Linked DNA regions of Ovis aries. The protein of the gene in region 1 purifies or fractionates together with the protein of each later gene. This does not show direct contact. Links are inferred from orthologs where the notes say so. Each region holds a gene or a part of one and is shown in the gene's direction. Other genes may lie near its edges. The genes, in order: ZUP1, RPA1 and UBR5.

Region 1 (10,678 bases):
AACTTTTCATTCTATAGTTATCTTTCCCAGGACTAGCCATGGCATCTTAAGATTAGGAGAGGAAAATAGATATATATTACTTTCAAAATAACATGAGATGTTTACTCTGGGACAACTAAATTCAGGCTCGTGGATCAAATACACCAACAAAACTCATCCTGAAAATTATGTACAATGAATACATCCTCTCACTCCCACATCAAAATTGGAGGAAAACGATCAAATGTTTTAGGACTTTACTATCAAACAAATAATAGATTTTGGTCTAAATACAAAGTCATTATCATAATTTCACTGATTCGGAGAGGCACTCTCCTATCCCTGGTATTTTAACCTTTCTATAAGTGAGGTGCATCTTAAAATAACTGTTAGCCAGGAAACAATCATGAAACAGCTGGATAAAAAACTTCTAAATCACAGCTTCTGGAAAAATCAAGAAATAATCAGCAATGAATTGTCTTATTTTCAACAAAATATGGCATCAAGTTTCAGTAAGCACACCTGATGTATTTATTGGTGTCTGGCTTCTTTCATTTACTTAAGGAACTGCCTAAAGAACTAAAACCACATAGGTCAGGACTTGAGTTATGACTACAATACCAATTTTCAGTACTAGAGTATAATTATTTCATTTAAAATACTGAAATGTTTCTATACTTTAAGTAGTTTTATTATACATATTTTAAAAAATTAACACATAAACATTTTATAAATATACAAAACATAAACATAAAATATATTTTAAAAGGGGCAGGAGATAAAACCAGAAAGGTAGGTAAGGCTGAAATATATAGTTCCTGCAATCTAGCTGAGAAATCTGGTCTTGATCCTAAGGAGAAGAATAAAGAAATTAAAGAGAAGGTTGTTTCAAACATTGATGATAAAAGACCTAAAGTAAATTAGTAGCTGCACTGAAAAACACAGAAGACAGACTGATGCCAGAAACATTTCAGATATTGATTCAATAAGAATTAGAGACCAAGAGAACATAAGGAATATGTGCTAAGAAAGAAAAAGGAGTTGAGGATGATTTCATGGTTTTCAGCATGAACTCTTTCAGAATAAGGACAAAATAACCCAAGACAGGGAATACAGATGGAGGATTGGCGTGGTGGTTTTGTGTTTTTGCCTCCTCGTTTTTGAGTTGAAAACAATGAATTCAATTATTTTATTTTTCATTTACGTACAGCAAAAATCACTCAGTACACAATTCTACGAACTTGACACAATGCTCAGGCATATAACCAACACAATTAAGATATAGAACAGCTTCATAATTCCCCCCAGAACTTCCTCATGTTGCTCCTATTTAGTCCTTCTCCTACTCCTAAAACCTGGTAACCACGATTTCCATAGCTCTGCCTTTACCCAAATTTCACATAAATGAAATTATAACAGTATATAGTCTTAATCGTCTTCCTTCATTTAACATAGTATATCTGTGAGTCATCATATTGTCGGCATGTATCAAAATTCATTCTTTATTGTTTAGTAATATTCTATTGTACAGATATACCATAGTTTATTGATTCACTAGCTTAAGGACATTTAGGTGGTTTCTAGTTTAGGGCAGTTACAAATAAAACTGTTATAAACACTCAATGTACAGGTTGTGTAAATATAAGTTTTCATTTCTCTCAGGTAAATGTGTAGGAGTAGAATCTATGGATAATAGGACAAGCATATGCTCCACATTTTACAACTGCCATTCTGAAAAGTAAGTATACCACTCTGCATTTTCATTAGCTATTACTGTTGCTCTGTATCCTGGCTACCCTTATTAGAATTTTGTTATTGTTTACTGCAGCCACTCTAATAATGTATAGTGACTTTAATCTTAAATGTGTTAAATTTATAGTACATAGAGCACAAACAGAAGGTTTTGATTTATAGATGGTTAAAAATTATGAGTCAAACTCAGGAAAAGAGTATTGAATGATCATTCAAGAGCATTAGAGCTATAAAAGAAAGATGCCCAAAGGAGAAATCTTAAGAATGTTCACATTTCCATGGAAAGCAAAGGAAACCAAACATAAATAGAAGGATCAGAAGAAAATAAGAGCCATGAAAAAGGAGGGAATTTAAAAGATAAAGAAATATTTCAGTTGCAGTGACACTAAAAAAAATAGTCACTCAATTTATTCATTCACTGATTTATCCCACAAATATTTAAGTGTCTGCAATAAGTCAAGTGCCATAGGAAGGTAGACTTGATAATCAGGTCACTGGTAAAGACAGAGAAATTTCTTTAGTGGTGGAACTAAAGGTAGAATGGAAAGGGCTGAGGACTTTACAATGCTTTAAAAAGTACTTTGCACCTCTTAACACATGCATATAGTTGTGCAACTAAAATACATGTATAATCAACCAATATCTCCTTATAAAAGTCAATAAATTAATTTTAGCAATACTGTGTGCACCTACAAATACTTATGTCTAGAAACAGTTCAATCTAACTTTCTTAATAACGTTTAGCATTATTCTCTATTTTATATATAAAATCTCTGTTGCACTAACAAAAGCTTAGGCTTGGAAGGGAAAAACAAAGTTAATTACCAAGCAAACTGGGCTTCATATTAGTTGTTGAATTACACTTAACAGTATAATATCTTAGCAAAATGAAATGTTCGCAGCAACAGACCTCTTTACAATATTTACCACCTATACATTAGGCATCTTCTAAGCCACTGGCCTCTAAACTTTTGATCACATATCCTATGCACACAAAATACATTTGGGAATGCACCCTCAATATGCTTGTTTATTTATATATGCATATTACTAACTTAATAAACTATCCAATTATAAATTCACAGAAATTTTTTTAAAAATAGTTTTATAAGATAAGCATAAGTTCTAATATCTTCTCCCCACATCTGATTGAATTACCTTGTGCCTCCCATCACACACAGCAGACAGTACTCCTAAGATCATCAATCTAGGCAATGACAAATTAAAATCTTTCAGTATAAATGCTAACCAAATAAAATCTCACGCCAGCAACTCATATATTATTTGTTTTCCTTCTATAGTACTAACTTCTTGTCTCTTATTTAACATCTGCATCCTCACTGCAGTTGCTTTAAAGGGGATATAAAGTTCAAGGAAAATGATTTTTTAAAGCTGCATCACCCAAGGGGATTTTCTTTCTCTGGAATATAGCTTAAAAGACTATACTTCAAAGCCTGCTGTCTCATACAAGTTATTTCAAATATAAGAAATGCCAATCAAACACTATAATGTTGCCAGAGGAATTTTTTTTTTTCAGTCATAAGCTTATTTTTGACTCCACTCTTTGAAAAAACTGTGCTGAGGTTAGGCAAACAACTGGAATCTGAACTTTTTCTAAAACATATTAACGGAATTTCTTGTCTCCATAAAGCCTGCGTTTCTATGGGCTTGGGTGTCTGTTAGTAAAATGACAAGATCAGTACAAAGGGGAAAGTGCAGCAATCAGAACCCCTACAAGCAAACAAGCAGTACCTGAAGATCTAAAGGACAGAGCTATTCCTGTTTACCATGAGAGAAAGTCACTTTTTTTAAATAAAATATAAATCATGGAATGCTGTAACTAAGAGACATCAGATCAGGTTTTTTTAAAAAGTGTTCAAAAAAAAACGAAGAGTAAATGCCAGTGTCATATTCTTTTGAAGTAGCACTATCCCTTCTCACAGATTTCAATTCCTCTCAACTCTTGTGCATTAGTGAGGAGACACTATTAAACTGTCACCTTGGAAGTGATCTAGCAGAAGCATCTAACCCGCGCTGGCCCGCGTCAGCACTGAGCCCTTCCAGGCATCTGCGCCAGGTGGACGGCAGCGCTGGACGTAGAGGGTGCGACACGTAGGCCCCTGGGGCTGAACCTGCCTTATTCTGGACACAAAAGAACTTCTAACAAGCGGAACAGATTGCTGAGCCCCTGAAGTGGCAGGCAACGTCCGATAAGACCATGTACCGAAAGAAAAAAAAAATACTAATAACTGCCGAGAGACAGCGGAGCAGAGCGGCGAGAGGATCCTGTGCCTAAAGCTCCTGAGCATCATCAGCCTGGCTCTCGGGGAGGCTCTGAGCTCCCTGCGCCTTCGCGTCCTCAAGGGAAAGGTCTGGCCGCCACGCCCCCGCCACCGCTGTCTCCCTCTGGAAAAGCTGAGAGGACCCGGCCCGGCCCGGAACCCTTTGTTGCTGCTGCTGCTGCTACTGCTACTGCTGGTAAGTCGCTTCAGTCGTGTCCGACTCTGTGCGACCCCAGAGACGGCAGCTCACCAGGCTCCCCGTCCCTGGGATTCTCCAGGCAAGAACACTGGAGTGGGTTGCCATTTCCTTCTCCAATTGTAGGGGAAGATAAAAACAGTGGCCTCAGGACCTAGTAGCTTCCGAAAGGACCAAACCCGAGGCTCACCCCACCTGGCGTGTCACTCCCACTTACCCATTAATGTGGCACTAGCCGGCGCCCTGACTTCCCAGTCTCCGGCTGTGGCGGCTGCTGCGGTAACTGTGGGGTCAGCCCTCCGCCCCTAGCTATGAGTACAGAGACCAGGCTCACAACGCAAGATGGCGGCCTCCTGCGCCCCTTACTCTAGACCCCCAAGTCTGGGCTCCCAGAAGCCCTTGCACGCGGCAGCGGTGGCGGCGGCGGCGGCGGCGGCCGCGAAGCTGCTGCTCCGACAGGCAGAGGGGCGGAGAGACGCGGACGCCCCAGCCCCACCCACTCATGGAGGATCCGGCGACTTCTAGACTCTGGGATTTTAACTCTGCGCGTTGCTGTGGCAGAAGTGTGTCCTACTGCCCTGACAGCAGTAGTGCTCCCTGCCAGTTCTGTCATTCACCCGTTCGTTCTTTTGTTCATCCATCCGCCCAAGCTTCCATCCATTCATTTATTCATTTTACAACGTAGTATTGACGGAGGGACTAATCTGTGCCAGACTTGATTTGATGTTGGAGGTACAATAGTGTACACAACGGATAAAAATCCTGACCTCGTGGAGCTTCATTTTCTTCAACCTCATTCACTTCTTCCTATCTTCTCTGCTCATTTGTTTCAACCTTTCAGTTGAAAATTTTTGGATGCCGTGACATCTGTGGATTTTTTTTTTGCAAAATAGTAGCCACTGATGTATGAAATAACTCCAAGTAAAGTACTCTTGATTTTTTATAACACACATACAGCCTTGTTCAACACATGGTTCAACCTTGGGGTTGAACAAGCAGTATTGAAAACAGGTTGTTTTCTCTATGTAGTTCTAGGCACAGAATATGCAAGATAAATAACACATGATTCCTTCCCCAAAGAAGCTTCTGTTTTCCATCTCTTGTTCTTTTTGTTCTCTTTTCTGAGAAAATTTTGGGTTATCTTACAGCTCTCTATTAATATGATTTTTTAAATTCTGATATTGTATTTTTTAAGTACCAAGAGCTGTTTCATATTTTTAATTCAGGGATCAAAATAGCGTTATCTTGTAACCGTGAAGCAAGAACAGGTCTTTGCCACCCTCCATAGTTAGAGGACTTTGGCACGCTGTAACATTATAAGCCCTTGCTTGATAATGTGAGAGTGCTACTCAGTCAGGCCCTGCTGCTGCTGCTAAGTCGCTTCAGTCGTCTCCGACTCTGTGCGACCCCAGAGACGGCAGCCTACCAGGCTCCCCCGTCCCTGGGATTCTCCAGGCAAGAATACTGGAGCGGGTTGCCATTTCCTTCTCCAATGCAGGAAAGTGAAAAGTGAAAGTGAAGTCGCTCAGTCGTGTCCGACTCCTAGCGACTCCACGGGCTGCAGCCTACCAGGCTTCTCCATCCATGGGATTTGCCACGCAAGAGTGCTGGAGTGTGTTGCCATTGACAGTGGATATTGTGGATTCGTGTAATGCCTTAGGACACAACCTGAGAATTCATTCATAGAGACCTCTGAGTCTAGTGTCTCGTCTTAAATTAGGCGTTGGAACCTTGACGGGGAAACGACTACGACTCCCACAATCCACCACGACCCAGATCAGCGTGCAGAGGTTCATGCTGGGATTCCTTCTCTTCCGGGGAAGAGAGGAAAAGCTTTTTTGAATGTGCGTCCGGAGGCTGAGGCTTTTCAGAGTCGCTGGTTCTCTTCTCGGTTAACCGTCAGTGTCTGGGTAAAAATAAGGGCCTACCTCAGTTTTTCAGGCCGGGAAAGGGAATCGACAGCGCGCAGCACTCCTTTGCCCGCGAGCCAGACGGCATCTGCTGCGGGATCCGAAGAAGAAGGGCAGTGTGACAGCGGCCGGCTCTTCAGGCCGGTAGGAACTGACCGTCCCAGCCCTGGATCCCTAGGCCGAATGCTTTGACCCAGTTAGTATCGGGACTGGTTTCATATCCTGGCCTTGGGACGTTGCCATGGACCTTTGGGCAGGCTCCGGCACCTTCCGCCGACCTCCACACATGTGTCATCCACTTGCTCTAAGTGTTGGGGAGCTCAAGCACACCATTCTGGGTCCCGGCCCGGGAAAAGAAGAAAATTCTCTGAGTGTCACGTTCTTTGCACTGATGGTTTGGGAGAATTTACATCAAAATCAGAGACTGTTTTCACTTGTCTGAGGAAAAGGGGTGGGGGGCAGGGAGACGAAGTTGGGCGATCTTATTAAACTAAATTTATTTAAATAGTGGGGATAGTTTCCTTATTTTCACTTTCTCTTTGTTTTAAAACAGTTTCTAGCTGAAAGATAGTCTAGGTAGTAGAAAGGTTGTGACTGTGCTTGCTTTTGAAAAACTTCTTAGCAAAATTTGTGTCAGAGCCAGAAATTTGTAAAGCCCAGAAGTGACTGCTGATTCAGTGTAACTCATTTTGTAGGCCGAACCTCAGAAAGGGGAGGTGTGTCATCTAAAATTATGAAACCTGAGATTATAACGCAGTTCTCTTGACTCTGGAATCAGTGCTCTTTTTAACTGTGTTCACTGTGCTTTTATGTTTTGGGTGGAGAGTGCACCTCTGGAGCCTGACTGGGTTAGCATTTGGGCTAATCATTTTCTGGTGCTGGTGACTTTGAGCCAGTTTCCTTCATTTAGAATGATCGTGTGTGCCCAGTCAATTCAGTCCTTACAACCGCATGGACTATAGCCTGACAGGCTCCTCTGTACATGGGATTTTCATGGCAAGAATACTGGAGTGGGTTGCTATGCCCTCCTCTAGGGGATCTTCCCGACCCAGGGATCCAACTTGCGTCTCCTGCATTGCAGGTAGATTCTTTACCGCTGAGCCATCAGTGAAGCCCAGAATGATAGTAATGGTGCTTTAATTAGTTTGACATATAAAACTCTTCAACTGTTAGCTGCTATTATGGAATTTGTTTATTTGCGCAACTGATTGTTAACTTTAAAGTTTTTGTATTTAGATATATTGGTTGATAAGGTTTCTTCTCTTTGTTTTCTCTTACTTGGCTTATTTTACCTGGGTGAGTTTATATACATTATTTTTTCTTTACCTCAGTCCAGACACACTGAAATTTTTGAAAAATTTTTTATTTCAATTTGCAGTATCATTGCCTTTGTTTAGGGATTCCCTGGTGGCTCAGAGAGTAAAGAATCTGACCCAGGGCTGGGTCAGGAAGATCCCTTGAAGAAGGAAATAAGAACTCACTCCAGTATTCTTGCCTGGAAAACCCCATGGATGGAAGAGCCTGATGGACTACAGTCCATAAAAGTCAGACACGACTGAGCAACTTCACTTTCGCTTTGCCTTTGTTTTATCCAAACCATTAACTTGAAATACAGTAGTTGAGATTTATAAATAAATTAGTATATTTGAGGAACAGTAAGGACATTGAAAATTTCTTCATCTAAATAATCTAGTCATAAATAACATATATAGTTGTTCCAAATCCTTTTATAAAATGTATTTTCTTTTTCTTCAGCTCTTACTTTCTAACATAAATAACATTGTATTCTTTTCTAGTTACCTGCTCTACCATGCTATCTTGTGATATTTGTGGTGAAACAGTATCCTCAGAACCAGACATGAAGGCTCACCTAACTGTTCACATGGAAAATGAAGTTATATGTCCATTTTGCAAGTTGTCAGGTGTAAATTATGATGAAATGTGTTTTCATATTGAAACTGCTCATTTTGAGCAAAATGAACTAGAAAGAAACTTTGAGAGGATTAATACAATACAGTATGGAACTTCCGATAACAGGAAGGACAGCAGCCTACAGTGTAGAGCAGACATTAATTCAAGTGTTCATTCAGCTTGTGCATCTAATCAGCCGAAGATTTCAGCTCAAAGCCTGCCTGAGGATGGTACTTTAAAACATAAAGACTTTTATTCAGAGAACTTAACTGAATCTAGAAAATTCCTGAAAAGTACGGAAAGACAGTCTGACCGAACCAAAATTAAAGAATCAATTTATGAAACGATGTACAGTCCTCCTGAATGTCCATTCTGTGAAAAAATAGAAGATAATAGTCAAGATATGGAAACTCATGTGAAAACAAAGCATGCTGATCTTTTAGACACTCCATTAGAAGGTAAAGTATTCATTTTATATAATAAGTAGCATTAGTCTCAATTTAATATGTAGTATCCCAAAAGTTGGTTTGTAAATAAGATTACTACAAATGTGTTTTTAATTTCAGTTTATAGCATTGCTCATTTGCCAATTATAATATGAAACTACTATAACGGAAAAGAGTTTTGATACAAACAAATGTTTCATCTACTTCGAAAGTAGCTGTAGAAACTTGAGGAGAAGCAGACTCACAGTCTAGTTTCCAGAGGAAGAAAGTGAAAATGAAAGTGTTAGTTGCTCAGTCCTGTCTGACTCTGTGTGATCTCATGGACTATAGCCTACAAGGTTCTTCTGTCCATGAAATTCTCCAGGCAAGAATACTGGAGTGGGTTACATTTCCTTCTCCAGGGGATCTTTCCAACCGAGGGATGGAACCTGGGTCTCTTGCATTGCAGGCAGATTCTTTACCAACTAAGCCACAGGGAAGACCAGTTTCCAGAGGGTATTCTTTTATTTACTACCCAGGCCAGTGGCATCTGGATTCTCTGGGATTGTGATTTTCTGTTACTGAGTTCTACTTTGATTCTTTTTTGATCAGAGAGCAAACTATGATTTAAGTTCTTTTGAATTTGTTCAAGTTATTTAAACTTGTTTTATGGCCTAAGATATGGGATATGGTCTGTTTTAGCACATGTTCACATGTTCCATAGACATTTGAAGAAAAAAAATTCTGATGTTGTTGGATCAAATGTTCTATATTTGTCAGAGTGTGTTGTTTGATTGTGTTCAGATCTTCCATGTCCTTACTGATTTCCTGTCCAGCAGTTCTACCAGTTTTTGGAAGGAGCTTAAAGTTCCCTATTATGATCTATATATATCTATATATCCCAGTATATTTGTCTGTTTTTCCTTTAGGCTCTATCAGACTTGTTTCATATATTGTGAGGCTCTGTTGTTGGTGCATACACATTTAGAATCATGTGTTTCTTTGATACTGTTGAGTTTTAAGAATAATTTATATATTGTGGATGCAAGTCCTTTATTGGATTTTGCAGATATTTCACAGATATTTTCTCTCAGTCTAAGACTTGTCTTTTCATTCTCTTAACAGTGTCTTTCACAGAAGTTTTTACTTTTAATGAAGTTTGCCTTATTTGATTTCTTTTTTCATGGGTTGTGCTTTTGGTGTTGTTTCAAAACTCTGCCAAACCCAAGGTCACCTTTCCCATGTTATCTTCTAGAAGTTTTGAATTTTACATTTAAGTCTGATTCATTTGAATAATTTTTATGAAAGGTTAAGGAGAGAAAACCTATATGCAGATCAGGAAGCAACAGTTAGAACTGGACATGGAACAACAGACTGGTTCCAAATAGGAAAAGAAGTACCTCAAGGCTGTATATTGTCACCCTGCTTGTTTAACTTACATGCAGAGTACACAATGAGAAATGCTGGGCTGAAAGAAGCACAAGCTGGAATCAAGATTGCCAGGAGAAATATCAATAACCTCAGATATGCAGATGATACCACCCTGATGGGCAGAAAGTGAAGAGGAACTAAAAAGCCTCTTGATGAAAGTGAAAGGAGAGTGAAAAAGTTGGCTTAAAGCTCAACATTCAGAAAACGAAGATCGTGGCATCTGGTCCCATCACTTCATGGGAAATAGATGGGGAAACAGTGGAGTGTCAGACTTTATTTTTGGGGGCTCCAAAATCACTGCAGATGGTGATTGCAGCCATGAAATTAAAAGACGCTTACTCCTTGGAAGGAAAGTTATGACCAACCTAGATAGTATATTCAAAAGCAGAGATATTACTCTGCCAGGAAAGGTCCGTCTAGTCAAGGCTATGGTTTTTCCTGTGGTCATGTATGGATGTGAGAGTTGGACTGTGAAGAAAGCTGAGCGCCAAAGAATTGATGCTTTTGAACTGTGTTGTTGGAGAAGACTCTTGAGAGTCCCTTGGACTGCAAGGAGATCCAACCAGTCCATTCTAAAGGAGATCAGTCCTGGGCGTTCATTGGAAGGACTGATGCTGAAGCTGAAACTCCAGTACTTTGGCCACCTCATGCGAAGAGTTGACTCATTGGAAAAGACCCTGATGTTGGGAGGGATTAGGGGCAGGAGGAGAAGGGGATGACAGAGGATGATATGGCTGGATGGCATCACTGACTCAATGGACATGCATTTGAGTGAACTCCAGGAGTTGGTGA
Region 2 (9,958 bases), on another chromosome or scaffold:
AGTAACCTCTGAAACTATAGAACGAATTATCCCTTATAATCACATTGTGAGAATATGCAAACGCTTACCCCTCATATGTCAGGGCAGGTCCAGTCCTGAACTTTGGTCTGTGCTCTTTGCCTCATGCCACTCTCTTCTCCTGAAGCCTGACTATTTTAGCTCTGTGGCAACCGTGGTGTATCTTCGCAAAGAGAACTGTATGTACCAGGCCTGCCCAACTCAGGATTGTAACAAGAAAGTGATCGACCAGCAGAACGGATTGTACCGCTGCGAGAAGTGTGACAGTGAATTCCCCAACTTCAAGTACCGCATGATCCTGTCAGTAAGTAGGATGGGTGCACGAGGACCGCTCTGGTGTTTCTTGTCCCTGTGAAGCTCCTGGTACTGTGGAGACTGGCTTGTCTCTCAGTTCAGGCTTTCAGATTGTCTGGGGTGCACAGCACTGACTGAGAGCAGTCTTAGGGAGCACCTCCTGGTGACTGAAGGGTGTACAGTTTAAAATGCAGAAGACATTGGAGACTCATTCAAAACCTTTAGTCCAAAGCCCCTTGAAGCTGGAGGGCCTCTGAGTCCACTGTGCCCGGATCCTGCATCTGAAGGTGATTTTTGTTGGGTTGTATCTCCCCTGAGAACTGAAATCACACGTCCACACCATATCACGTTCCTGCTGTGATCCACACTTAACATTTTGAACTTCTCTCCTGGATGCTTTTTACATTCTTTGGAAAGAACATAGCTATTTGGTGGAATCGGCTCTTTTCCCTAGAAACTCTTTGAAGGAATGGAGAAAGTCAATCTCCCAGTCTTCTTAGTGTGTCTTCCTTTTGTTACTTCTTTGGTGTAATGATGTGAAGTTGTGTTTTTTAGGTCAATATTGCCGATTTTCAAGAGAATCAGTGGGTCACATGTTTCCAGGAGTCTGCAGAGGCCATCCTTGGACAAAACACTGCGTATCTCGGGGAATTAAAAGAGAAGGTCGGCCATGTCCTGTATCATTTCTGTAGTAGTTCCCATGCTGTGACTTACCTGTTTTTTGCTCTGATAACTGTTGGTCTATTGCTGGTGGGTGTTGTATAGCGTCTCTCACTGCTGACTGTGAGAGCTCATCTAATTCTAATTGTGTCCACCTCAGATGTGCTAACAATGAGGTGATGAAGTCATGTGTATAAAATTCTTTAAAACCAGCCCTTTCTAAGTAGAAAGCACTTTTTCCTCCTGTTTCTAAGAGTCGGTGTGCCTGTAGTCACTTGAGATCTGGAAGTATCTTCTGAAGTGAGCTGAAGTCCAGATACCTTTATTTTTTGAGTCTGTAATAATAAACTTTAAGTCCACTGTGGTCTCCCCATTATGGTTTATCCTGGGATGTTGACTAGTTCCCTGTGCTTTACAGTAGGACCTTGTTATCCACCCATTCTGTATGTGATGGCTTGTCTCTCCTAGCCCCGAGCTCCCAGTCCATCCCTCTCCACCCACTCCCCCACCCCCCAGGATAACCGTGTCTTGAGTCTGTTTCTGAGTGTCTTGAGTTTGTTCCCTGTGTCTTGAGTCTGTTTCTGCCCCCTAGACAGGTTCGTTTGCGTCGTGTGTTAGATTCCACATGTAAATAGTGTTCTGTGGTATTTGTCTTTTTCTGACTTTGCTTAGTGTGATAATCTCTTGTATCCGTGTTGCTGCAGATGGTATTATTTCATTCTATTTTATGGCTGAGTAGTGTTCCCATGTGTATCCATACCACATCTTTATTCAATGTGCCTTTTTAAAGTAATAAACACTTTTCTGAAAAGTTGAGTCAAATCCTGGTTTAAATTCACGTATAAGGTATGTGCTTCTTTCAGATTGTCAGATATGTTCTTACAAAGTAACTTTCTTTCGTAAGGTCACTTTCTCCATTTAATTTTTATAAAAGTATTTTCACATAGTAGTTTTGTTTAATTCAAGGACTAGATTACTAGTTATCCTAAAGTTAAGAAAGATGTTTGCTCAGATAAAACATACAAAGACCAATAAAAGCTATAGTTTCTGGGCCACACAAATTAGTATCTGTCTATAGATTTTTCTCCCCCATTGTCCTCCAAATCGGTTAGGATACTTGTAAAAGCCAGTAGCAAAAAAGGATTTGTCATTTGTTTTGGGGTGTGTGTGTGTGTGTTTTTTCTTTTCCTGTCTTCTCTTCATTTAGCTCTGCCCTTTTGTCTCTTTGAAATTGTCCATGAGCTCTCTGAAAATAATCCCAACAAGCCCTTTTACAGAAATAACTGGAATTGACTTTAAAGTATGATGGTATCTTTTATCTGTTTTGCCTGGTCCTCTATTTTCATATCAGCTTTTAAGGCTCGAGGCAGCCTTTCAGGATTTTTTATGGGCTTATTACATTTGACTGGTTTTACTGCCAGTGAATGAGGACATATAGGAACTCTCCCCTCAGGAATCATAATATTCTTGGAGTATGCGCTCCACGCTTTGACTAATCTTGAAAGAATGATGGCAGCTGGTACAATTTTCTGAAGGTTTAACACATTGTTTTATTTACATACCCAAAAGCCTGAGGACTCTGTGTGTGTGTGTGTGTGTGTGTGTGTGTGTGTGTGTAGTAACCTTTATATAAAGAGTTCTATATATAACAAAGCTATTTTCATGTTCCAAGTGGCTTGCAAATAATACTTGACTGATATGAACTATTAATTTTATTAAAAGTTCTTGTACATTTATTTTATGCATATTTGTGTAAAATGCTTTCTCTAATCCCTCCGTTTACCAGACTTTTTTTTTTAAATTCAGAAGCTTAATCAAATAGTATTTGAGAGGCCAGTAAGAGAGAACTGTGAATTTTAAACTTCTTCCCTAACTTTTGCCCACTTCTCCTGTCTTCTTCACTTACTACATCTGTAAATCCAGAGGCTGAAATAATGTATATATGACAGCTTGAACTTTTTTCCTGAGTCCTCGTCCATTCTTAATTTGTTCTGAAGATTCTGAGCCTCAGATCTATTCCATCACAGGTTTTGAAAGTTTAGAAATGTGTTTAAGAGTGTTTAGTTTTTTTCTATTGTGATAAAATATCCGTAAAATTTACCATTGTGAGTGAGTGAGTGAAAGTCGCTTAGTCGTATCCGACTCTTTTGCGACCCCAGGGACTATACCAGTGAACCAGTAAAGTTGCTCAGTCGTGTCTGACTCTTTGCAATCCCATGGACTATAGCCTACCAGTCTCCTCCGTCCATGGAATTTTCCAGGCAAAAGTACTGGAGAGGGTTGCCATTTCCTTCTCCGCTGGATCTTCCCGACCCAGGGACTGAACCCAGGGAAGCCGCATGGACTATACAGCCCGTGGCATTCTCCAGGCCAGAATATGGAGTGGGCAGCCTTTCCCTTCTCCAGAGAATCTTCCCAACCCAGGGACTGAACCCAGGTCTCCTCCATTGCAGGTGGCTTTACCAGCTGAGCCACCAGGGAAGCCCACATGTATAAGTTCACCGGCATTAAAATACCTTCATATTGCTGTGCAGCTGCCACCATCATCCAGCTGTAGAACTTTTTCATCCTCCTCAGCTGAAACCCTGTACCCATCAAACACTAACTGTCTGTTGCCCCTGGCAGCCATCATTCCACTTTCTGTCTGTATGAAATTGAGTACTCTAGGTAGAGTATTTTAATTTTTAATAAAATTCTACCTAAACAGTTTTATGCGATGAAATGTCACCTATATATTAGTCATTCCTAAGAAATTTCAAGCCACTGGGAGGTAATCATTTTCTCAGAGATTTTCCTCCAAGTCTTTTTAAAAACCGTATAGATAATTTAAGGTGGTCTGGTAGTTTCCATGCTGACAGTTTTACGTTTTGTTTCTGCAGAACGAGCAAGCATTTGAGGAAGTTTTCCAGAATGCCAACTTTCGATCTTTTACGTTCAGGATCAGGGTCAAACTGGAGACCTACAATGTAAGTAGCGTCACCCGTGGTGCGTGAGGGTAGCAGCATAGAACTCTCGTCTGTCACCCACAACCCCACTACAGTGTTAGCTGTCAGTTCCTCGCTTACTGTGTTCCAGACCCAACTCGTAACACCCTGCATGTATTACTCACTGAGTCACCAACATTAGGGTGCTGTTACCATCTCTGTTTTCAGATGAGCAAACAGACCAAGAGAGAGGTTAGGGGTCATGTCCAGTAATAACAGCCAAGGAAAACATGCTGTGTGGCCTTTTCAGTTAAAACCTGGGGGATTTTGGTTTGTGTCCTGACAGACACAAACCCCATCTTCCCCATGGTTTGGGTTCTAAAGTCAGTATATGAGAGAAAGACCACATGTGGTTAACATTACCTTGGAAATTCCTTTAATTGCTCATAACGTCATACAATTATAAAATCATGAAAAAACAGCCTTTATTGAGTGCTGACTATCTGCCAGATACTGTTCCCCACCCTTTGCATACTTCGTCTCCATTCATCCTAGCAGTAACCCTGTGTGAAGGAACTGTTGTTGCCTGCATTTTGCTAGTGAAAAGCTGTAGTTACGGAGAGTTGAGTAACTTGCCTAAATTCATACGCTAGCAAGTGGCACAGCTGATAATTGCATGTAGGCAGTCCAGCCTCAGAGCTCTACACATGCTTAGAGATCTGACTGGGTTTTGTAGGTACAGAGCTGGAGTGTGCAGGCCCTGAGCTGGCCTCACCCCAGTCTGCCTCTGAAGGCACTGTCCAACCTGGTGAACAGGCGACAGGAGAATTCAGAAAACCTTGCTTGTTTCAGGATTTGCTTGCTCTGCTTTCTTGTCAGGCCTGAACCCTAATACCTGCTAACAGCTGTGCCTGGTTTTGTGAGCATTAAATGAGCCTTTCGATGTCAGCAGTGTGGTGTCAGGGTGGGGTGGGGGTGGTCGAGGGGGAGGGGTGGAAGGGTCACTGGTCCCTGTGTGGCGTGGGCAGGGGTGGTGAAGGGCAGCAAGGTCGCCTCTCACGGAGCTGAGGCAGGCCGAAGCAGGCTTCGCCCTCTGCTGCGAGCACGGCTGCTCTCCTACCGCCCGCTCACAGAGCCCGTGGCGTAGCTTTAGCAAGCCACTGTCTTCTGGGCTCCCGTTTCTGGCTCTGTTGGAGTCCAGGTTTCCGAGTGTCTGGGACCATGAGGAACCGGTGCAGGGCCTTTGCCCCGGTGCTCATCAGCACGGCTCCTTTCCTGGGCTCTCGGGACTCTGAACCACCAGCATGTCTTCGTGCTCTCTCCTGTTGGGGTCACTGAAACCAGGAGCATGGCCACAGGTGTTTCTTCCATCACAAATCGTTCTTCTCTTTTCAAAGGATGAGTCTCGGATTAAGGCCACGGTGGTGGATGTGAAGCCTGTGGACTACAAAGAATACGGCAGAAGGCTGGTCATGAACATCAGGAGGAACGCGGCGATGTGAGAGGATCCTGCCAAGGGGGCAGGAGCGTGTGGATAGAGGGCTGATTGAATCCCCCCCCCCCCCCCACCCCCAGCCTCCACGCGCACCACCATCCCCGCCCCGACTGACAGCGGTGCAGAGCACCCCTCTACCACAGACTAAGCCATCGCCTCTCGTCACACCTGGGAACCCACTGACAGCAAAGGGAAATACGCTCGCAGGGCTCTGGTGTAAACCGTGTCAGACCTCGGGGTCAGCTGCACAGACTGTAGTGCCACTCACCCCCTGTCCTTAGGCTTTTGTCAGTTTTACTAAGATCTCGTTATTTTCAACCAGAAATTATGTCACAGGAAATTGACCCTCAATCTGTAGACAGTGAACTAAATTATGTAGGCAGGGTTCCCGCTTCTCCAGTGGCGACACCTTCTCAGCTCGGGCCCCTTCCCAGGGGAGTGCTGAGAAGTGGTTTTGTGGAGGAACTTGAGTGTTTTAGGAAGCCTGTCTTCCTTGATTTCAAAGGCTCCCTTTCTAGAGGGGCCACACAGTTGTTAATGCCTGGAATGGCAATAGGGTAGAATTATTAATCAAAGTCATATCTTTTATATCTGAAGAATATCCTTCCTTCAGGGTTTAATAGACTGAGTCAGATGGGTCTGATATTAATCAAAATGGTCTCTTCTGAGGAAGGCTGATAAGCATTGACTTGCTGTCCCCTAGAGACATCCCAGCAACTACAAAGCATCGCTTTCGTCTCCCCTTCAATTAATGTTGCATTTCTGTTGGTACGCCTTTTCTACCTGTACGTATTTCTTGCATTTGTATGTTTTCTTTTCTTGATTAAAGCTGTATTAAATAGAAGGGATTCTGAAGGGAGAAGCCCTTTGTTGCCATTGCCTTGTTTAATAAACAGTTTATTCTCTGCTTATGAATCCCACTTTCTTTGAATGCAAAGGGTTCTTGTAACTGGAAAGCAATTAATTAGCCTTCATAATAAATGTTCACTTGGGGGAGATGTTAACTCATTACAAACTCAAAGATTAGTCCAAAGCATAGAGATCATTCTTCCTAATGTCTGCAACCTTGAAATGCATCTTTAAAAGAATGAAAACACCAAAAACAAAAAGCCATTGTGCCCCGGAATGCTGATGATCCGGCACTTTGGGATTTTATTGATGTTTACACAGCGGTCTTAACACCAACCAGGCTTTGAAATGTGAACAGACAGTGAGCTGGTAAGAAAACAGTAATTATGCTACTGGGCTTTTCAGTCGGCAAGAACATGCTTGCTCTGTGTGTTCCTAATCATATTAATTATCTATCCGGTCGCTGCAGCCCCTCATTTGGCGTTTGCAGCACACCTCTTTCCAAGCATCCAGGCAGCATTGCAGTCTTCCTGTGGTGCCGGGCCCTGGTTTTTAATCTGGGTGAGCGTGGCACATGGAGGCCCTTGCTAGGCTGGAGGAGTGAGCACGTCCCGCCTGTGTCATCCTTAGCCTTCCTCTGCCGGGAGGAACCAGTTGGCGTCAGGCAGGATGACTTCCATGGCTCAGAACCTAGGATGGCCTTCTCTCAGGCCCTCTAATTGTCTGGACACGGTCTAGTCTCAGAAGATAGCCACCGGGCTGCACTTGATTCTCCGACCAAGGCCTCGGCGATTTTTTACGGAAGCTCCTTTCTGTCTGACCTTGCTCGTAAAGCGCTGACTAGAAAATTACAGTCTTCAGTGCTATGGTGGATTGACAAATTGTGGGTTGGAAGTAGCAATCTAGCTTTCAGCCTGGTAACCAGTCTTTTATATCTACCGCTCCCAGCATCCCCACCTCTCCCCATCACGGCTCCCACCCTGCGAAGAGCACTGACCGGCAGCGTGACCCCAACGCCTCTCCCGGAACATGGTACCAGCCGCCATGCGTTCACGACCATGAGGTGACACCAGCACGTCTCTGCGGATGTGCTTAGAAGCCCACAGAGGGATGCTCTGAGATGGGGCGGCTCCCTCGAGGGGGCATGTAGAGCAGATTCCCCACTAAAAAGCAGATCACTGGCAGAGGAGCATCAGAAATTGGCTCCACTGTTAGGCTTTTAAGAGCCTCAGGTCCCTGAGGGTCACCTAAATAGATTCTGGCCCACAGTTCTTAGAATTCTCTTGGAGATAGTTTAACCTCGAAAGGCTGTTCATGTTCTATTTCTCATCTTTCACTTAGAGATCAATGTTTATTTTGTGTACACCATGACATCAGCGTTAGACAATTAGGGAAAAATCTAATCATTTCGTCTTTGTTTTAAATGGCTCTTGGATCCCTTCCAGTCTCATTGTGATGGAGGCAGGGGGGGAGAAAGGGTAATAATCTGATTTCTGTCCATATTTTCTGTGTTTTACGCTTTCCATTAAGGCCTTAGTAATCTCTGGTGTGCTCATTCTGACTTTTTGAACTTCAGGATCAAAAACTTCCCCTCCCCCACATCTTTTCCTGAGTGGCCCATCTTCGAAAAGTATAAATAATATCGATTATGGCGTTTAATACCCTAATGAAACCCATAGTTATTGACTACGTAATTAATATACTGTCTAAAAGTCAAGTTTGGTAGCCCAGTGTATAAAGGTTTGGATATTGACTTGTGTTTCTTTGGCAACATGCCTTCTCAGATTTTATTTATAGAAAATGAAACTGGTTGTTCAGTCTCTTCTTGTCACTTGTTAGAAACCCACTACTCCTCCTCTAGTAAATTGATTATTTCCTTATCTCAAAGAGGATATCCCCCCCACCCCCCAGGGCTCCCTCCCACCCTCTTTTATGTGGTTTGTTAGCTCTTGGTTTTATAATCCACTCTGCTGGTAGAGCTATGGCTTTCAGAAACACTTTTGGGAATAATATTTTTTTTTTTCTTTCCCTCTCAAAAAAAACTTTAGATGTTTAATTTTCATTGTTTTGAAAAAGAAGCCAACTGAGTATGTTTTATTATTAAGCTGATAAGTATTGTTAACGTCAATAAAAAAAAGAATGGGTACTATTTGGACCATTGATTATTTCTTAACTCAAGTAATCCATGTTCATTGTAGAAAAAATAACCTGCAGACAAGAAAAAACAAAATTGTCCTTAATCCCGCCTGTCAGCAATAATTGCTTATGTAGCTGACTACTTTTCTCTCTGCTTTTATGTGTGTAATTATAGTTTTAACTTAAAAATGGGATTATATTATGCATATTATTCTGTAACACTTTGCTCCTAGCACTAAAGAATGGACCTCTTTCCTGTTTCAATAAGAGATCTGCATTATTTTTTTGTAAATCTGCATAATTTTAATTGGCATTTGGCCATGTGTTTGCATGGGTAAGTTTATTGAGCCAATTCTACCGGATGTGCATACTTTCTAACTTCTAAAGTTTTATTTCTATTTAGACCTAATTGGCATATAACAGGAGAAGGCAATGGCACCCCACTCCAGTACTCTTGCCTGGAAAATCCCATGGACGGAGGAGCCTGGTAGGCTGAGTCCATGGGGTCACTAGGAGTCGAATATGACTGAGCGACTTCACTTTCACTTTTCACTTTCATGCATTGGAGAAGGAAATGGCAACCCACTCCAGTGTTCTTGCCTGGAGAATCCCAGGGACGGGGGAGCCTGGTGGGCTGCCGTCTATGAGGTCGCACAGAGTCGGATGCGACTGAAGCGACTTAGCGGCGGCATATAACATTGCATGAATTTTCTTTTTTTTTTTGACTGCATTGGGTCCTTGTTGTGGCGCACCGGCTTTTTCTGCTTGTGTTGGGGCATGTAGGATCTTAGTTCCCCAACCTGGGATTGAACTCACATCTCCTGCATTGAAAGGCAAACTCTGAACCACTAGACCACCACGGAAGTCCATTAGTTTTAGGTATACACACACTTTCTAATTGTATTTTTTTAAACTCAGCTTTTGAGCTTTTGATAGACAGGAACATTCTCCTTTGCTCCAGCATGAAACTGTGTGCCTCTCTACTTGTTCTGTACATTTCTCTGATTGTGCTTTCTTTGCCTTAGTTCAGTAAGGGCTCCTCTGATCCTGTATACCATCAAGAGCTGGCAGGTGGTTCGAGCAGGCACTAGAATCCTCTGGAGCAAAAGCGGGTGGTTGACTTGGGAGGAGAGGGCTAGAGCCTTGGTGGCTTCTTCCTACCTACCACATGGACGTGGTGGTGGCCAAGAAGAGGCCTGAATCCTCTTGTTTTCGATGAGAAATGCCCTTTTGAGAACATATCTGACTTGCTTTATAAATCAACCTGATTAAAAAAAAAATTTTTTTTTGACCACACTGTGTGGCATGTGGGATCCTAGTTCCCCAACCAGGGATTGAGCCTGTGCCCTTTGCCTTGAAAGCTCAGACTCTTAACCACTGGCCCACCGGAGAAGTCCCAAATTAACCTGCTTTTTATCTAAAGCTAATAATGAATGATTATTAAAATCTTTTCATTATATTTGCGATGGCGGTTTTGAGTCCTTGAGAAAAGTACATAGCACCTGTCTTCACTGGCCGCCTGTGCCATTTTCTCCCTCTGGGTGACTCCTTTTTTTGGCCATACCGCGTGGCTTGTGGTGTC
Region 3 (10,678 bases), on another chromosome or scaffold:
TTTTTTACTGGACTCAGAAGTCTATTAGTCTTGAGGACCTCTCTTTGTTGGTTTTGTTCCCCATGTACTTCTTGGGCCATTTGAGCTACTTCTTGCTATAGTGAATCTTGGCCTCATACTTCTTCTTTTCCAGGGTGTTTGTCACTACGTGGTACTTCCAGCCAAATTCACAAGTCAGGTAGCCCAGGTGGGCAAACCTAGAAATGGCTTCAGACACACAAACTTGAACAGAAATGATCATCTGCTTTGTCTTATCAAACTCCTTGAGGTGCTTTAAGAGTTTCCTGGTCACGCTTGATCTTGTGGGGCAGCAAGCCTTGCACAGTACGTCTGAAGATGTGCTTGGGGACCCAGAAGTGGAAAGGACCATTGGATGGGTTGGTGTCTATGGGCCTGTGGAAAGGGTCAAGGCCTGGCACCTCCATTTAATTCTGTAGAAGTTTGTGAGAAATGTTAATGTCCTCTCAGTGCATGACCTCTGATTTCTTAGATGAGCAGTACTTGCCTGTTCACCCTGGCCTCCAGTAGCTCTGGAGCTGATTTCAACCATTGATTAGCATGAGCTGTCCCTCTGACAACTTCGGCAGCTGCCTCAGCAAATTCATCCCTTACCTTTAAAATTCATTTTCTTGTTTTATTGCACTAGCTAGAACTCTTGTGCGTGCTGAAAAGGAGTGCTTAGAATAGGCATCCTTGTTTTCAGTCTTAGGGTAAAAGCTTTCAACATTTCCCCATTACAAAAGATACTTCCTATAGGATTTTTTAAAATACTCTTTATCAAATTAAAGAAGTCCCCTTCTATTCATAGTTTGCTAAGAAACTTTCTTCATGAATGCTTACAGAATTCTGTAACATTCTTTTTCTTACTCAATTAATGATTTTTCTCTTGCATTATGTCAATATGGTGAATTACATTTTTTGATTTCCATATGTCAAATCATCCAACTTGTTTGTGATCTACTCCTTGTTGTATATCCTGTTGAATTTGTTTTGCTAATACCTGTTTGTTTGTTTTCCGTATCACGCAGTTTGTAGGATCTTAGTTTTCCGACCAGAGATTGAACCCAGGCCCTTGGCAGCAAAAGTGCACATTCCTAATCGCTGCCAGTGAATTTCTTGTTTAGGATTTTTTAAACAGACTTTGTTTTTTAGAGCAGTTTTAGGTTCACGGCAAAACTGAAAGGAAGGTATGAAGATTTCTCATATACTCCCTGCCCCCCTGCCATAGATAGTTTTGCCCACTATCAACATCTTCTACCAGAGTGACCCAATTGTTAAAACTGGAAAACCTACATCGATAAATCATTATCATCCAGAGTTCATGGTTTACATTAGGATTCACTCTAGGTTTTGAACATTTTATTGGCTTGCACAAGTTTATACTGATATGTATTCACTGTTATAGATCATACAAAGTATTTCACTGCTTTAAGTATCCTCTGCTTTGCCTGTTCTTCCCATCTCCACTAACCTCGGGCAGTCATGAATCTTTTAGCCATTGCCACAGCTTTGCCTTTTCCAGAACGTCATATAGTCGGGGTCATCAGTATATAACCTCAGATTGACTCCTGTCACTTAGTAGTAGCAGCGTTAGTCGCTCAGTTGTGTCTGACTCTGTGACCTGACAGACTGTAGCCTCCCAGGCTCCTCTGACCATGGGATTCTCCAGGCAAGAATACTGGAGTATGTTGCCATTCCCTTCTCCAGAGGATCTTCCTGACCCAGGGATCAAACCCGGGTCTCCTGCGTTGCAGGGAGATTCACTTAGTAACATGCATTTAAGGTTCCTTCATGTCTTTTTATGCTTTATAGCTCATTTCCTTTTTGTACTGAATAATCTTCCATTGTATGCATGTAACCACAGTTTATTTACACATTCACCTACTGAAGGACTTTGTTGTTGCTTCTAAGTTTTAACAATTGTGAATAAAGCTGGTGTGAGCATCTATGTGCAGGTTTTTGTGTGGACATAAACTTTCAACTCCTTTGGGTAAATATTGAGGAGCATGATTCCTGGATCACATGTTAAGAGTATGTTAGTTTTGTAAGAAACCATAAACTATCTTCTAAGATAGCTGTACCATTTTGCATTCCCACCAGGAATCAATGAAAGTCCTAATTGTTCTACATCCTTGCCAGCATTTGGTATAGTCGGTGTTTTGGAATTTTATGCCCCGTTGTTTATTCAGTCAACATTCATATACCTACATATTTTCCCTTTTTATTTTTCATTATTTTATGCCTGTCTGCGCTTATACCAGGAAATCAGTTTCCTTTTACCTGACTCATACCTTTTAGTATGGGTCAACTGCTTAAAATTTCTCACATTTCTTTTTCTTTTTTTCTCACTTTGCCCCCCTCTTCCCTGCCCCACCCCCAGTATCTTTATATTTCTTTCATTCCTTTTTTGTCTGTTTGTTTCATTCTTGATGCTATATTTTGGCCTTAGGAGTGTGCTTTGCCCACAAGTGGGAAAATCTTGAAGTGTAAGGGGATTCACATCCCAGGAACAATCCTCAACTACTGAGAGGTAGAATTAATGGATAAATACCTCTAGCTTCCTCTCCGCTCAGTGAGCTAATTCCAAGATATGTCCTAACAGTCTCTCTGATGACCCCCAGTGGGACTGAGTTCCAGTTGTCCACGGTGGGATTGAATTCTAGTTGTCTACAGTGGCAAAACGTTCATCAACCCACTTTTATTGACTTTTCTCCATTCGCTGTCTCATTTCTCCGTTTCCATATAGTGCTTCCTGCAGTCACTTCCTAAATACTTGTGGCCACATCCTTGACTCAATGTATGTCTTGGGGGAAACCAACTCTAAGACATGGCTAATTTCAGAGCTGCAGTCCTTTGGGCTCCATACAAAGTGAGAGGAGTTCATTAGTACTCACTCACTATTGCATTAGGGAACCTTGGACATCAGTTCCTGTTGTCTTAGCTCTGAGAATTTGTCAGAACTGCTCAACTTCTTGGCTTCTTATTAGGTCTTTCTGGAACTGGCATTCATCCCAGGGGGAAAAGTGGCTCTAAACACAGGACTCACTTCTTTGGGTCTTATTCATCCCTTGGATCCTAGTGTGGTAATTCATCATTATTTTGTTAACTCTCCTGTTCCTTTAAGCAGGTTTAAAGAAATATTGTTGGTTAACTTTTTAGTTGTCCTCAAATAAATTAGTTCAAATTGTTAGGAAAGAAGCTCACTCCAGCCTTCTTTTCTCAACTTGTATTGTACTTCGGCTTTTCAAAGAAGCTTCTGCTTGAACCTTGCTTATTTCCCTTCCTTATCTGTATTCCCTCCTTCCCCATCCATGTGATGCACAACTCTGTGTCTTTATTCTTGCTCTTCCGGGTTCAAAGTGTGACCCACCATAGTGTTAGGGAGATGAATGTTCTAACACAGCAGCCTGGACAATGCCAAGATAGTTGTCAGTCAGAGACCAAGTGGGTACTTTGAATGGGCTGCCGAAGAGTGATGAGACCAGCCTTCAACCAGGATAGAAAATCTCAGTTGGTAAATCAAGTTGAAAGCAGGATGGAAGCACAATGAAAAGATGAAGGAGGGCAGATATGGAAGAAAGAGAAATGAAGCAAAGTATAGCATGGACTTTGGAGTTTGTCCAGGGGCACAACTAAAATGACCAAGTTCAAACTGGATGTTCTGTTTTCCCAGAACATTCTTGAAAGCTTAAATGAAATGACTTTTCTTAATTCTCTTGGCTGGAACCACTTCCTCCTTTAACTTTCATAGCACTCTTATTGCATTTATCATATCAGATTTTCCCATTGACTTTGAATAATCTGTTCCTTCTAAATTATTAAGTAGATGACAGTTGTGGTATAGTGGAAAGAGCAATGGAATCAGTTTCAGCACTTATAAGGTATTTGGGCCTCAGTATCTTCATCTATATAATGGCGATAATATTATTTACTCCATAATGTGATTTGAGTAATGAAAGACATAAGTGTATAAAGTGGTATGTAGTCAAGTGGCACACAATGAGCAACTTGACAAAAAAACTTCTGCTTGCTGACATTACTAAATGTTATGAAGTGCTCTAGGTACTTGACATACATTATCTTATTTAGGCCTCACCAAAACCCTACATAGATCTATTACTATGGAATATTTCACAAATGAGGAAAAAAAGATGCTATGATAGGTTAAATGATATAATCAAGTCCACACAATTAATAATTATTAGAAACGGCACAAATTCAAGTCCGTCTGGCTCCAAAACTAACAGTGTCCATTGGTTTCCTCTGCTTCCCTGTGGCCCCCACGAATTTCTAATAGAGGCTTTGAAATCACTTTTTAGTCTAATCTGGGCCATTTTGGAGCTGGTGACCTACAAAAGTGTTCCATTATCTGTCTCAAGGGGTACCTACTCTATCCTGATTTATAAATAGTCATATATTTTGTTCAAAAGAACTTCTAAGCAAGTGCGTATGTGTAATGCAGTAACAGAAGAAAAGTGATATTTAAAATTAAGAACGTTTCACAGGACCCTTAATTTAACGGAACATACTGGAGAAAGAGGCTTCGTGTTTTCACTTTTTTTTTCTTGAAAGAAGTACTTGATTTTTTTGAAGGGGCCAGAGAAGCCTTTGAGAAAAAAATCTATTAACTGGTTCCCTAGAAAAAGGCAGATCTATTTAAGAATTAGCCCTTATGATCCCACTGATCATAAGCTGAAGAACGAAACATCTTCGATGAAACTGATATTTCATCTTTCATTTAAAAGAATTAAAAATTCATGAGTCATTTAAATCAGGAAATCGGTGGAAATTTCCACATTTTGTCTTTGTGTGGATACGTGATGGTGGCGGTTGCGTGGGGGTGGGGGGTGGGATTGGGGAAATCAGGGTGATAAAAAGAAGTTGCTGCAAAGTCAGCTCTATAATCCTACGATTGGACCTTCTGGAAAGGCCCTTACATAACTACCTTACTTCTCCAATAAAACGCTGTCCGTTTCTTGCCCCTTAACAGATTTCTACACTTCCACTTTAAATATAACTGCGGATGTGAAGGACGAGAAACAACAACAGAAAACCCCTAAGGGTCCGCAAAATAATTAGGGCTGCCCCAAGAGAAATCAGAGCGCGAGACTGGAGGAGCCCCTGTTCCCTCCCACCACCACCGCGCCGGGGACACACACTTAGCCTCTCTCCCGGACTCCCCGCCCCAGCCGGCTCGCCCCTCCGCCTCATCTGTCCCGAACACGTGCTCTCCGGAACACTCACTCGGGAGCGAGCCCACCCCCCCGGGGGGGGGCCGGGCTCGGGAGCCGAACGGCCCAATCGGCGCGCGCCTTACAGCGCCGTGGCTGAGCCGCCCAATCGGCAGGGCCTCGCCGCCCGTTTCCCGGAGCCCCGCCCCCTCGCGGCCGTGCCCCACGCCCGCCGGTCTCCTCCCTCCTCCTCCTCCTCCCGTTCGCCCCTCCCCCTCCGCTCGGGAGCGGAGCCTGCGAGACGGAGAAACTGGGGCAGAAGTGAAGATGGCGGCGGCGGTGCTGGTGGTGGCGGCGGCGGCTTCTTCTCGCCAGTGACGCGCCGAGCGGGCTCATTTCCCTCCCCACCTCCCTAGTCCGGACCCCGTCCGCCGCCGGGACCACACACCGGCCCCACAGCCCGCAGCCCGTCCCCCTCCCCTCCTCAGTCGGGCCCCTCTCTCCCGACGTCCGGCTGCCGGTGGCGGCGGCAGCGGCGGCGCGCCCCGGGTCCCGGCCGCCGGCCTCGCACTCCTGCGCCCTGTCGCTGAGGGAGCGGGGTGGCGTGTTGATCCGCCCTCCTGCCCGCCCCGCCGGACCGCCGCGCCTCGGACACACGCCCGGCAGGGAGGCGGCGGCGGCGGCGGCGGCGGCCCCTGCGCATTTGCTTCTCTCATTTGGGGACCGGGAGGCGGCGGCGGCTGTGGCTGTGGGTTTTGACGAGGGGAAGGGGTTCGGGGGTGGGGGGAGCCGAGCGGGAGGGGGCCGTCCTCGAGAGGACGACGAGAAGGAAGCACCATGACGTCCATCCATTTCGTGGTTCACCCGCTGCCGGGCACCGAGGACCAGCTCAATGACAGGTAATAGGGCCGGCGGGCGGGCCGGCCGGCGGGCGGCGGGGGGAGGGGCGCCTCCCCGCCCTCCCCTCCCCCACGGGGCCGCGCCGGACCGGCGGCCGGTGGGGAGGGCGGGGGTCCTCACTGCCCCCCGGCTAGGCCCCTTCCGGGGCAAACTTCTGGTCCCAAGGACCGGGGCCGCGGGGTCGGGGGGGTGTGGGGGGAAGCGAGCTGTGGACGGGGAAGAGCACTGCACCCTCTAACGCCCCCTGGTCCCCCCGCCTCCACGGAGGAGCCGCGTTCAACTCGGTGGGGGCGGCGGGTGGGTATCCAGCTCCCGGTGCGGGGAGCTTCATCACCGCCCGGGCCAGGCCCGAGGAATCCATATTAGTCAAAGTTGAATTGAGACAGACAATGCGGATGGGGGATGGTGGAGGCTGAAAAAAAAAAAAAAGAGGGAAGCGGAGGAGCCGGGCGAGGGGCCCCGGGGTAGGCTGGGTTCGCCCGGGCTCCCGGGAGCTGTGTCCGGTGGGGTGGTCGGACCGGCGGGGGCCTGGGGCTCCTGGGGGAAGGGGAGGCGGGGCGGGGTGGGGTCGGGGGACCTGGGTGGGAGAAGCTGATTCCCTGCAGATCGCGGGTGGGGTGGCGGGAGGGAGGAAGCGCCATGATTATTGTTATTATTATTAAATTTGAGCCCCTGCAGTGAGGTTTGCCGGTCCGGGGAGGGGATGAATTTAGGCGAGGGTGGGGGGCGGGGAGGGAAGTGGATTGGGTTCCCTTTGCTCTGTTTTCTCTGGAAACGGTGCTGGCAGCTCCTGTTTCCCAGTCCCTGTGGTGCGAGCTTTTTTGTTTCCTTTTTTTATTCTAATGATAGTGTTTTCCTGAGTTGTAATTTGACAGCTGAAAACCGTGCGTAGAGTCAAAGGAAAACTCTTACGTTTGCAGTTCGCAGTGCTGCTTTTCTTAACACGCTGTAAATTTCTGGGATGGGTTTTGCTATGGGCGGAGGAGGCATTATGATTTTTTTTTTTTGGTCTTTCATAAGGAGGCTGTTTTGACTCCGGATTCCTCCCCTTCCCTCCTCCACCGTTCCCTGCCAGTTTAGGATATTGAATTGCAAGGCCGCATGCTCTCAGGGAACTGAGATAAAGCAGGAAAAGTTCCTTCACTGTTGCAAAACAGAGATTCCGAAAAGGTTGAGGGAAACCTCCATTAGGCAAGGCTGAGAATCTAGGACTCAGATCGAATGATGGGCTAAATGTTTTACAGGGTCAGAAAGTGGGGCATTTGAAGTTTCTATACCAACACTTTCGCTGCTCTCTCTTCCTCATAAATATAGAAGGCCGTCAGGGCCCACGTTTAGAAGTTAGATATGATTTTTGTTAAGTGACCGGGTGACATAAATTGCATGAAGCCCTGTTTGTCATGCACTTCCCTGAGGGAGGAGGAGGCCTAACTTCTGCTGATATACCGGCCTCTGTTTCGGGGAATCTAACTGCCTCAGGTGGGGCGGACAGCCTTTCAATCCGGGAAGCTGGAGGCTTGGTTTCTGGCATTGGGTTCGGATTTGTCTAATCTTTGCTGTTGTAGCCATATTGTATTTCACATGTTTGTAGAACTTTTGGAATACTTTCTCAAAATACTAATCATTTGGAGTGGTCACATAGTTCTTTTAAGTACGAAAATAAGTTTTAAGTCATTTATTTTATAATGCAGTCTTACTCCGATTTTATTTCATTACATATCTTTTGTTAAGACTTTTACATAAGGTTTTTTTTTGGGGGGGGGGGTAAATTTTAGAACCAGGCTAGTAGTGAGGATAGCTGTACTGTCTGTCATTCATAGAATCCAGTTGGCCGTGCTTGTGGGGGAACTTGTTACATTGCACCAGAAGAGACATACACGGTGTATTTTTTATACTAGTCCTAACTTTATATACCAGGAATCCTAACTAATTTACTCAATTGATCATGCATGCCAAAACCTATTTTGCGGTTTTGTTAGGCACTTTGAATAATTTTTGAGCATTCTTTTTTCAGCTAGTCTAGAAATTTACATGTATCCTTTTTAAAGCTACCTTTTCTTTTTTCATTCTTGGTGTAAACAAATAATCAGCTTTGACTCCTGTACTCTCAGTATACAATATTGAGACTATTTGGATCATTTTCAGTTTTCATGAGAAATAAAGACAGGTGGTTTCGAAAATGAGACTGTAAAATATGTGCATCAAGAATGTAGTAGATATTAAAAAAAACAGCTGTAGATAAAATTTTAGGAACCTGTAGTTGTATCTCATAGCAGTAGAATGTCTGGTCTGTTTTATGAAAGCAGCGCTTGAAATAGTCATGCTTTCCAGTTTTGAAGTAGTTGACTTGTGGAGCTGTTCTGTGTCTCCCCTTCAGAAGAAGATCCTGTATGCATACCTTGTTGCAAAATACTAGATCAACCCTTTGCTGCATTGTTTAAGGGAAATCTTTCCCCACAGGAGACTCTTTCTCTGGAACCTTTTAACTTAACTAGAATGAGCCCAGAAAATTTTTGCCTTTAGATAAAAATCTAACAAAAAGATAATTGATAGTTTTGGTGAAAAAAAAAAAAATATATATATATATAAATACATAGACGTTAGTATTTACCCAAAAAGCAGTAAGATTGGACTGGCAGCATGGTATTGAAAATAAATTGCTTAGTCAAATAAAACGCCTCAAAACACCAATATTGTGCTGTACAAATAAAGTTTTCTATTTAAAATGGCTGCATCCTATTAAAAGTCATATATTTTGTTTAGTGTAGAAATGTGATGTCAGCATTTAAAATGTACTCAGTATTAAAAAAAAAATCTGATTTTTTTCCCTCTGTGTTTTTTCTTTTTTAGCAGGAGGAATAAAAGAAGCAGGCAAAACAAAACAAATGGTAAACAGAAGGCAGAATGATACTAACAGGGTGATGTGGAGGCAAAAAAGCTAAAGCTAAAAATTGTTGTTTAGTCTCTAAAGTCAAGTCTGACTCTTTGCCACTCCGTGGACTGTAGCTCACCAGTCTCTCTTATCTATGGATTTCCCAGGCAGGAATACTGGAGTGCGTTTCCTCTGTGTTTTTATGCTTGTTATTTTTGTGATGGGCTTCCCAGCAGTAAAGAATCCTGCCAGTGAAGGAGACATGAATTTGATCCCTGGATTGGGAAGATCCTCTGGAGAGGGAAATGGCAACCCACTCCAGTATTCTTGCCTGGGAAATCCCATGGACAGAGGAGCCTGATGGGCTACAGTCCATGGGGTTGCAAAAGAGTTGGACGTGATTAAGCACGCACTCATGCATTTCTGTGACAGTCTTGGTATATTGGGTTAACATCTTTAATTATTGGCCCTGGGAGACCAAATAATGCAGTAGTTGAATACAGGTGGGGATGGCTAGGCATTCCTAGAGCCTAGGATATTGGTTGTGGATTTCCAGAGTGATTACAAGGTCCCTGGTGCAGAGAGCTGGCCCCTCAGCAAATATTCTTTGTATGGAATTGAAACCGCTCAGTGCTCAGATACTTGTGTGACATTTTGATTTTCTTTCTAGCAAATTCCTTGAGTTAGTGCTATGTTCCTGCTTAAAACATCTCAAGAAATAATCAGTAGTAAAAACCATACCAAGAACATGGTACTGCATTTTGAGATTGAGAGGCGAGCTGGAAGTGCAACTCAACAAATCCTGGGAAGTGCCGAAGAAGTCAGTAGACCATTCTTTTCACAGATGCGCTGGAAAACCAGGCCTGAGTTTACCGACTTTATCCATGGTACTGACAGATGAGAGCCACATGATGGGTCTTCTAATTTTTGAAGTCCAGGTCTCTTCACTGTCCCACATGGCCTGTATTCTAGGAAATCTCTGCTTTCTGAGGTGTCCCAGCCTTTGTGCAGCCACCTGTCTTAGAGTTTTGATTTCTCCTCCCCAACGCCTCCCTCCTGCACTTCAAATTGATTTAGGCCTTTTGTCAGAGCGTGGAACCTCTTAATGCTTTCCTAGTACTAGGTCAGGAGAGGCCTTTTAAGGTGATATGTGTTCCTGAGACTAGTCCCTGTCTTGAATTACTCTTTGGGATGCAGGTTGGCTACATTGCAACGCAGTTCACGTTGTTGGTCTGGATGTGGAATTTTCCTGTGAGCTTTGCTCTTAGGCATTATAATGTGCTGTGTGACCAGAAACAATCTGGGTTGAGACTGTTACATTGAAAAGGTTTTTCTCCAAGGAGCTCCCCCTTTAGAAGCTATAAGGCTACAGAGTAAGGTAGTGTAGATAGGAGTTTAAAATTAAGAATTCCTAAATCTGGTTTGTCTCAGCCCTGCTAGTTATTAACTATGTTGTGGTAGGCAAGTCGTTTAAGCCCTTACAGTCTCATTCCCTGCCACTCCTCCCCACCCCTCCAGACTCAGTTTCTAAGTCAGGTATAGTAGTACCCTTGTTGGTGAAGAATAGTTGAGATAGCAGGTGGGAAAGCACAATATTATAGGTTCTGTGGAAAATATTATAAAGAGATAGTTACTTTTTACAGCTTTTACATTTTGTCTGGTTTCCAAATAGGAAAACAGGCACTAGAGGAATTGCACTAGAATATCCTTAGCATTGAGTGCAGAATCCAGACTG

What was found.
Region 2: the proteins of ZUP1 (region 1) and RPA1 purify together in Homo sapiens (affinity purification with western blotting; 4 studies listed by BioGRID, with this or other methods). This does not show direct contact. The link is inferred for Ovis aries from reciprocal best matches to the Homo sapiens genes ZUP1 and RPA1.
Region 3: the proteins of ZUP1 (region 1) and UBR5 purify together in Homo sapiens (affinity purification with mass spectrometry, with the first as the bait; 3 studies listed by BioGRID). This does not show direct contact. The link is inferred for Ovis aries from reciprocal best matches to the Homo sapiens genes ZUP1 and UBR5.

What each region holds. Positions count from the first base shown.
Region 1 is NC_056061.1:21,146,133-21,156,810, forward strand, and holds the start of ZUP1 (zinc finger-containing ubiquitin peptidase 1), read left to right. Parts: upstream 1-3,806; 5' UTR 3,807-4,209; intron 4,210-4,426; coding exon of another isoform or gene 4,427-4,430; exon of another isoform or gene 4,431-4,592; intron 4,593-6,034; exon of another isoform or gene 6,035-6,315; intron 6,316-7,915; 5' UTR 7,916-7,929; coding exon 7,930-8,488; intron 8,489-10,678. Other genes in the region: KPNA5 (importin subunit alpha-6), read right to left, coding at 1-45, 4,427-4,430. UniProt on the Homo sapiens protein: Deubiquitinase with endodeubiquitinase activity that specifically interacts with and cleaves 'Lys-63'-linked long polyubiquitin chains. Shows only weak activity against 'Lys-11' and 'Lys-48'-linked chains.
Region 2 is NC_056064.1:22,828,576-22,838,533, forward strand, and holds the end of RPA1 (replication protein A 70 kDa DNA-binding subunit), read left to right. Parts: intron 1-145; coding exon 146-322; intron 323-867; coding exon 868-975; intron 976-3,851; coding exon 3,852-3,938; intron 3,939-5,293; coding exon 5,294-5,398; downstream 5,399-9,958. UniProt on the Homo sapiens protein: As part of the heterotrimeric replication protein A complex (RPA/RP-A), binds and stabilizes single-stranded DNA intermediates that form during DNA replication or upon DNA stress.
Region 3 is NC_056062.1:74,928,337-74,939,014, forward strand, and holds the start of UBR5 (E3 ubiquitin-protein ligase UBR5), read left to right. Parts: upstream 1-5,488; 5' UTR 5,489-6,008; coding exon 6,009-6,070; intron 6,071-10,678. UniProt on the Homo sapiens protein: E3 ubiquitin-protein ligase involved in different protein quality control pathways in the cytoplasm and nucleus. Mainly acts as a ubiquitin chain elongator that extends pre-ubiquitinated substrates.